Linked DNA regions of Caenorhabditis elegans. The protein of the gene in region 1 interacts with the protein of each later gene in a pairwise test. Each region holds a gene or a part of one and is shown in the gene's direction. Other genes may lie near its edges. The genes, in order: cct-1 and mrt-2.

Evidence for each region.
Region 2: the proteins of cct-1 (region 1) and mrt-2 interact in a two-hybrid assay, tested with the Caenorhabditis elegans proteins (2 studies listed by BioGRID).

What each region holds. Positions count from the first base shown.
Region 1 is NC_003280.10:8,183,478-8,187,396, forward strand, and holds the start of cct-1 (T-complex protein 1 subunit alpha), read left to right. Parts: upstream 1-1,965; 5' UTR 1,966-1,968; coding exon 1,969-2,044; intron 2,045-2,088; coding exon 2,089-2,512; intron 2,513-2,556; coding exon 2,557-2,862; intron 2,863-2,907; coding exon 2,908-3,564; intron 3,565-3,722; coding exon 3,723-3,909; 3' UTR 3,910-3,919. Other genes in the region: Segment polarity protein dishevelled homolog mig-5, read right to left, coding at 1-211, 258-380, 423-900, 953-1,028, 1,070-1,223, 1,278-1,426, 1,493-1,531. UniProt on the Caenorhabditis elegans protein: Molecular chaperone; assists the folding of proteins upon ATP hydrolysis. Known to play a role, in vitro, in the folding of actin and tubulin.
Region 2 is NC_003281.10:11,744,890-11,748,808, forward strand, and holds the start of mrt-2 (Cell cycle checkpoint protein RAD1 homolog mrt-2), read left to right. Parts: upstream 1-1,876; 5' UTR 1,877-2,073; intron 2,074-2,154; 5' UTR 2,155-2,159; coding exon 2,160-2,258; intron 2,259-2,329; coding exon 2,330-2,485; intron 2,486-2,544; coding exon 2,545-2,685; intron 2,686-2,733; coding exon 2,734-2,814; intron 2,815-3,919. UniProt on the Caenorhabditis elegans protein: May be a component of the 9-1-1 cell-cycle checkpoint response complex that plays a major role in DNA repair. Promotes DNA double strand break-induced cell cycle arrest and apoptosis, thereby playing a role in genome stability.

The sequences.
Region 1 (3,919 bases):
TTGCTCTATTTTTTCATTTTGCTCATTTTCTCGTTTTCTTTCTGCTTCTTCAATCAAAGCTCTTGGAATTCCATTTCTACGTTGATCGTAAAGCATTCGCTCCTCATCATCAGAAGCTGTCGATGTAAATGGAAGAGTTCCGTCATCAATTGTAGTTGCCGTTTGCTCCTGTGGATCCAAACCCAGAGCTTTCATTTTTTCAGTGTTCTGCCTGTAAGTATCAAATTAAGAAAATAAATCTTGCGAGGTACCCTTACACAGCGGTTTCTACCCAAACTCCAACGTCGAGGGGCATCGTTTCAGACGCCATGGACGCGAGTGGATCATCATATTCACTTGGGGCACCTCTTGCAAACTTACTGATATAAAGAGTAATTGGTCTAAAAATTAAAAAAAATTAATGCTAATGCGTAGAAAAATACCTTTTGGAGGATGCAGCTTCTCTGAGCGAACGAACTGCTTGAGGCCCACTGAGTTCTTCAAAGGATACTCTATTAACTTGAAGAATCTGATCACCAACGTTCACACGTCCATCTTTTTCAACGGCACCTTCTGGTGCAATTTCGGAAACGAATATATGACCATCAATTGTGCACACGCTCAGTCCCAGATATGGAACATTTTTCATTGGTAGATAAATTTCCAGAATTCGAGGGAGGCCGCTGTTAACACTTGATTCCGTCGCTGAGCTAATAGTACTTGGAACATACGGTCTTCTGAATCTTTCTTTCTTTTGTTTTTTCCTTCTTCTATCGTCATCGTATATCTTATTCATATCACGAGCAGCGAGAGGTTCGTAGAGCGAAGAATCATCTCCTGTTCGACGTGTATGCTCGTCATATTGATACGGATCCTCTGAATTTGAAGTGTATAATTCTGCCAGATGCTCTCCTGCTCTTCCTGAAAAACGTTCATACAGGTTTTTAAGAGTACATAAATAGCAAAAACTCACTGCTAACAATGGTGCTCGGAGCAAGACTAGCATCAGAGTACGGAGTCGCGTCAAAGTCTGCACTTCGTCGGCGGCGCTTAAAATATCAGTTTTTTTTGAAAATAACAGAAATCGAACCTTATCTAGAGCAGTTCTCTGTGGTCGCGTCATTGTTCCACTGTTTCGAGGAAGAGTTCCATATCCTGGAGTGCTAACGAGAAAAATCTCATAAAATCCATTCTGGGATTTGCGCAGCCGATCCGAATCAGTTGTTAATTCGACTTTAACTTCTCTGAACATTTTTCAGTACAGAATAATTACAAAAATTAAAAAAGCCAAAACTCACCGTTGAATATCCGGGTCAAGTTCCTTCGCATAATACTTATATCCACGCTTGGTGAATGAATTTTTGAAATTTCCAAGCGTCGCTACTCCTTCTCTGGCTTCAATAACAGAAACATAGGGAGTCGTTTCATCGTCGAGATAGTAGAAGACCTGGAAGAAAATTATTTCTGTTTAATCACTGGCTTAATAAAAAACAATTCTGATCAAAATTCTTACTTTTATCTGGCTGCAGTCTGATGTGCATGGCGGCTCCATAAATGTTAGAAATCTGAATTCAATATTTTAAATTATAGACCAATAAAATATTTATAAAAATTACAAGAGGAAACAAAAAAAACAAATTTGTTTGCAAAGGACTAGCGGAAACAATTTTATTTTTAATTTATCGGCAATAAATCGCGGGTGGGAACAATGTTGCAAATACGCCCTAGTGACAGCTGGTGTTGGGTCTCGGCACGATTACCCTTCTAGCATGCATGAAGTACGATGCGCTCTGAGAATATTCTACAAGAATTTTAATTTTGATTCAGAATTCAAGGGATCCCCGATTTTCTGGAAGCATTTTTATTTTTACTGAAATATTTTCATTTTTACGTATATTTTTATTTTTGAGTGCTTATTCAAAGCCCCTTTTTGACTCAATATCGAATGTCCTACTCTATTGCTAAGTTAATACGGTTGTGTTTCAGGTAATGGCATCAGCTGGAGATTCCATTCTTGCCCTCACCGGTAAAAGAACTACTGGACAAGGCATCAGATCTCAGAATGGTAACACCGAAAGCTCAATATAAGTATACATTAATTAATTGCAGTCACCGCGGCAGTTGCGATCGCCAATATTGTGAAGTCATCTCTTGGCCCTGTCGGACTTGATAAAATGCTTGTCGATGATGTTGGAGATGTCATTGTCACAAATGACGGAGCCACAATTCTGAAACAACTCGAGGTTGAGCATCCGGCTGGAAAAGTGCTTGTAGAACTTGCACAGCTGCAAGACGAGGAGGTCGGAGATGGAACTACTTCTGTCGTTATTGTGGCGGCTGAGCTCTTGAAGAGAGCCGATGAGCTTGTGAAACAAAAAGTTCATCCGACGACTATTATCAATGGTTACCGTCTCGCGTGCAAGGAAGCCGTCAAGTACATTAGTGAAAACATCTCATTCACTTCCGACTCGATTGGTAGACAATCAGTTGTCAACGCTGCCAAAACTTCCATGAGCAGTAAGATTATCGGACCGTGAGTTTGGTGTTGTCTATGCTTCAAGAAAATTGATTTTTCAGAGACGCCGATTTCTTCGGAGAGCTGGTTGTTGATGCCGCGGAAGCTGTTCGTGTGGAAAATAACGGGAAAGTCACTTATCCTATCAATGCAGTCAATGTTCTGAAGGCCCACGGAAAGAGCGCTCGCGAATCAGTTTTGGTGAAAGGATATGCACTCAATTGCACAGTTGCCAGTCAGGCCATGCCACTTCGTGTTCAAAATGCCAAGATCGCATGTCTCGATTTCTCTTTGATGAAGGCTAAGATGCACCTCGGTATTTCAGTCGTTGTTGAAGATCCAGCCAAGCTTGAGGCTATTCGCAGAGAGTGAGTTGAAACTATTCGTTTCTTTTTAAGCTATGGAATTTTCAGAGAATTCGATATTACCAAACGCCGCATTGATAAAATTTTGAAAGCCGGAGCCAACGTTGTTCTTACAACTGGAGGTATCGATGATTTGTGCTTGAAGCAATTTGTCGAATCTGGAGCTATGGCTGTTCGTCGATGCAAGAAATCAGACTTGAAGAGAATTGCCAAAGCTACTGGAGCCACATTGACTGTTTCCTTGGCTACTTTGGAAGGAGATGAAGCTTTCGATGCCTCGCTTCTTGGACATGCCGATGAAATTGTTCAAGAAAGAATTAGTGACGACGAGCTCATTCTCATCAAGGGACCGAAATCTCGTACTGCCAGCAGCATTATCCTCCGTGGAGCGAACGATGTGATGCTCGATGAAATGGAGAGATCGGTTCACGACTCACTCTGTGTTGTTCGTAGAGTTCTGGAAAGCAAGAAACTTGTGGCTGGAGGAGGTGCTGTTGAGACTTCTCTCAGTCTTTTCCTTGAAACTTATGCACAAACCTTGTCTTCTCGCGAGCAGCTTGCTGTTGCTGAATTCGCTTCAGCGCTTCTCATCATTCCGAAGGTTTTGGCAAGCAATGCTGCAAGAGATTCTACTGATTTAGTGACAAAACTCCGCGCGTACCACTCCAAAGCTCAATTGATCCCACAACTTCAACACCTCAAGTGGTAAGTGAAAATGTTTTTTTTAAAGAGTAGGTTATTACATGTTAGCTTAATGTAATAAAATTAAAATAATTTATTTCAAAAAATTTCGTTTTGTGCTTAGAAAAAGCGTCTAATTCATGTTTTCTGAATTTGAGTCAGTTTATTCACTCTTTTTTTAGGGCTGGTTTGGATCTCGAAGAAGGCACGATCCGCGATAACAAGGAGGCTGGAATTTTGGAGCCAGCTCTTAGTAAGGTCAAGTCTCTGAAGTTCGCCACTGAGGCAGCCATTACGATATTGCGTATTGATGACCTCATCAAACTTGACAAGCAAGAGCCACTTGGAGGAGATGATTGCCACGCTTAAATTTTCCCGT
Region 2 (3,919 bases), on another chromosome or scaffold:
TGAGACGCAGAGTTTTCAACTGATTTCGCATGGTTAAGAACGTGCTGACGTCACATTTTGTTGGGCAAAAAATGCCCGCGTTTTTGTAGATCAAACCGTAATGGGACAGCCTGGCACCACGTGAAATTCCAGAAAAAATGTCTGAACCTACTGTAGTTCACAATTTAAAGGCGCATACCAAAAAATTATAGCGGGAATTAAATTTTTATTTAATAATTTTTTCAGTTACAGAGCAATTAAAAAATTCAATTTCATCAAAATTTTATAGACCAATTTTCTCGCTTTATAGCTGAGCTCCGCGAGCCAAAATAGGAAGGGGAGCACGAAAAAAAAACAGAAAAATGAGCTCGACAGAGCCCATAGCCTCAAGCGCTAACGAACCAAAAAATGCACACACACACAGGAGGCGGAGTCGTGGAAATTTCGAAAAAAAAAACAAGATTTTCTTCTCTCTCGGCTCAAATTTGAATGCGGAGCAAGAATATTACGGGAACAAAAAATTCTGAGAATGCGTACTGCACAACATATTTGACGCGCAAAATATCTCGTTGCGAAAAGCAAACTACAGTGATTCTTTAAATGACATTTGTAGTGTCGATTTACGGGATCTCGATTTTCGAAATGAATTCATTTATCATTGATCGAGCCCGTAAATCGACACACGCACTACAGTAGTAATTTAAAGGGTTACTGTAGTTTTGTTTTCGCTACGAGATATTTTGTGCGTCAAATATGTTGCCCAATACGCATTCTCAGGATTTTTTGTTAGCGTAATAAAATAACAGAAAACACAGAAAAAGGCATGAAATTTAATTTGAAATACCGCGCTGAGTTTTCTAGGCCACGTGTCGTGTACTCCCCGTGGACAAGCGGTTTTTGCCTTATTTTTCTGAAGTACAAATTCTCAAGTACAAGTAAAAAAGTACAAATTTTACCAAATTTGAGGAAAAGAACTAGCATGACAAAAATAGAATTAGAAAAATTCTAGAGAAAAACTACGGATTTCTGGCTTCCCTCATAAAATGAAATGGAAGAGTTTGCCGAACTAGGCCATTTTGGCTCAGCCATATCTGGAGTAGATTTACGGCGCGTTCCGTGTCGCGGCTCGATTTTAGTTGTAAAACTAAATGAATTTGTCCGTGTGGAGTACACGACTTTACCACGCGTTGTCCGGCAGGCGATTGTCAATGGAGCGCGAAAAATTCAATGCACCAGATTTGACGCGCAAAATTTGAATTTTCAAGTTGTAAATCCCTTTTTTCTTCCCATTGTCCCATCAAATATCCTTCTTCAAAAAAACCCCTGCGTCTCTCAGGCCATATCTGCGGTAGATTTACGGCGCGTTGCGTGTCGCGTCGCGGCTCGATTTTAGTTGTCTGGCGGGCGATTATCAATGAAGCGCGAATAAATCAATGAGGAAGGCCAGAACCCCGTGAAGATCCAAGAAAAGTTTTCTAGGCCACGTTCCGTGTACTCCACGTGGAAAATGTCCTTTCCGGCAGGAGATTGTCAATGGAGCGCGAAAAATTCAATGCACCAGATTTGACCACGCGTCGTGTACTCCACGTGGAAAATGTGGACACTAGGGATCTACTAAATGCCTGGAAAATCGTAAAAATCTCGAAACTTCCTAAAGAAAAAAAAAGCAAATACACAAAAACGCATTGATGTATGAACAAATTGCCCTCCCCGTCTCCCACCAAAAACTCCCAAAAATTGCTCTTTTTTCATGTTTATATGGGGGACCGCGGGATTTCATAATAGCTCCGTGGTCCGCTCAGCTCATCCGGAGCCAAAAAGAGCACACACACACACGCACACATAAAAGTTGTAAACTAGTTTCGAGCAAAAATGATACGACGGATGAGTGTGTCACGCAATCAGTGAGCTTCTCTCGCTTTCGAAAGAAAAATCTTTTTCGCAAAAAGAAAAAGTACTTTACACTGGCCACAGTGTAAAATAAGGGTGAAAAGATCGAAAATCGGAGGTTTCAAATTTGAATTTCCGCGCAAATGAGAGGGACGAGGTGCGATGGCCTACAAAACTCCGCAGGTGTACTCCTCTCGGAAAACGGTGCGAGAATTAATTTTTTAATTTATATTTAATTTTCAGCGATTTTTCTCAGTTTTCCGGTTAAAATTTAAATTTTTTCAGGAAAAATGATGGAATTAGAAACGGGTCAATGCACAATTATGGAATTGAAAAAAGAAAATGTGAAGGAGCTCGCGCAGGTCTTCAAAACCGTCGCTTTTAAGGATGTTAGTGTTGGAAAATATCGATATTAATTTCATTTTTTTTGAGAAAAAATCTAAATTTTTCAATTTTCCAGACAGGAACGTGGCACGCTTCCGAGGCGGGCATGAAGATCACAGTCGACGATGGATCCTATCAGCTGGCCAGCGTTTTTATCAATCCGGCGTTCTTCTCGAGTTTTAAAGTTCGCGAGGAGATAGTTTCGATGAAAATCTCGATTAAATCGATTTCTGTGAGCCTTTAAAAGCCCATAAAAGCCCAAAAAAGTGGCAAAAAACAAAAAAATTCCAGGAATTCCTGAGCATTTCGGAAAACTCGTCGAGTTCTGTAAAAGTCTCGTATCCGGGAATGTTTCAGCCTGTGAAAATGCTTGTTGAAGACGCAGACGGATGGGTGGCACGTGGCAATTTTACAACAACGCTGGCAGATCAAGTTCGCCGGGTTTTCGAAATTCCTAGATTTTTTTTTGTCTATTTTTAGGAGCTCGACTTTGAATTCGATGACGCTGGTGTGCTGGCGACCTATCTGCTTAAAACTCAAGTTCTCAAGGAGATTATCAAGGTTTTATCATTGAAACCTTTAAACATTCGAAAAAAATTTATTAAACTCCAGACATTTTCCAAAAAAAATTTTTTTTTTTGGATTTTCGAAAAAAATGTTTTTTTTTTGAAATTAAATAAAAAACTTTTTTTTTTACTTTTTTAGTGAAAAAACAAAAAAAATCGGTTTCCCTTCAGAAAAATCGGTGTTTTTCGGTTTTTTTCATATTTTAAAACATTTTCTGAATTTTTTTTTTGACTTTTTGGAAAAAAATTTTTTTTTGGATTTTTTCAAAATGAAATAAAAAACTACTCGAATGTCGCAAAAACAAAAAAATTTCTTTTTGTTCTGACAGATTAACATTTTTTGGTTTTTTTCGACTCCAAAAAAAAATTTCTGAAAAAATTAGCTTTTTTGAAAAAAAAACCATTTTTTTTTAAATTTTTTAGTCGAAAAACGAAAAAAAAAATCGGTTTCCCTTCAGAAAATTATTGTTTTTGGGTTTTTTCCCACATTTTAAAACATTTTCTGAAAAAAAACTTTTTTTCGACTTTTTTGAAAAAAAATTTTTCGGTTTTTCCGATTTTCTAATTTTTCAACAAAAAAAGACGAAAAAAACCAGAAAATTCCGAATTTTAGAGCCAAAAACGAACATTTTCCGTTTTTCAATTTTGAAAAAAAAAACGTTTTATTTTTATTTTTCGATACTTTTTTGTCGAAAAACGAAAAAAAATGTTTTCCGTTCAGAAAAATCGGTGTTTTTTGGTCTGTTTTTCATATTTTAAAACATTTTCTGAAAAAAATTTTTTTTTCGAATTTTTCATTACTTTTCAAAAAAAAAATCCGTTTTTGATTGAAAAAACCTTGATATTTTTCCGATTTTCTAATTTTTCAAAATTAAAAAAAACCAAAAAAAAAATCCGAAAATTCCGACTTTTTGAGCTAAAAACGAAAATTTTCCGTTTTCAATTTTGGAAAAAAAATTTTACTTGAAAATTCGATTTTCGCTTAAAAAGTAGTTTTTATTGTTTCAATTTTTCGAAAATAAAAAAAAATCGATTAAATTGCAGAATTTCCAACCCAAACCCAAAAAAATCGACGTCCAATACTTATGATTTGACGCGCA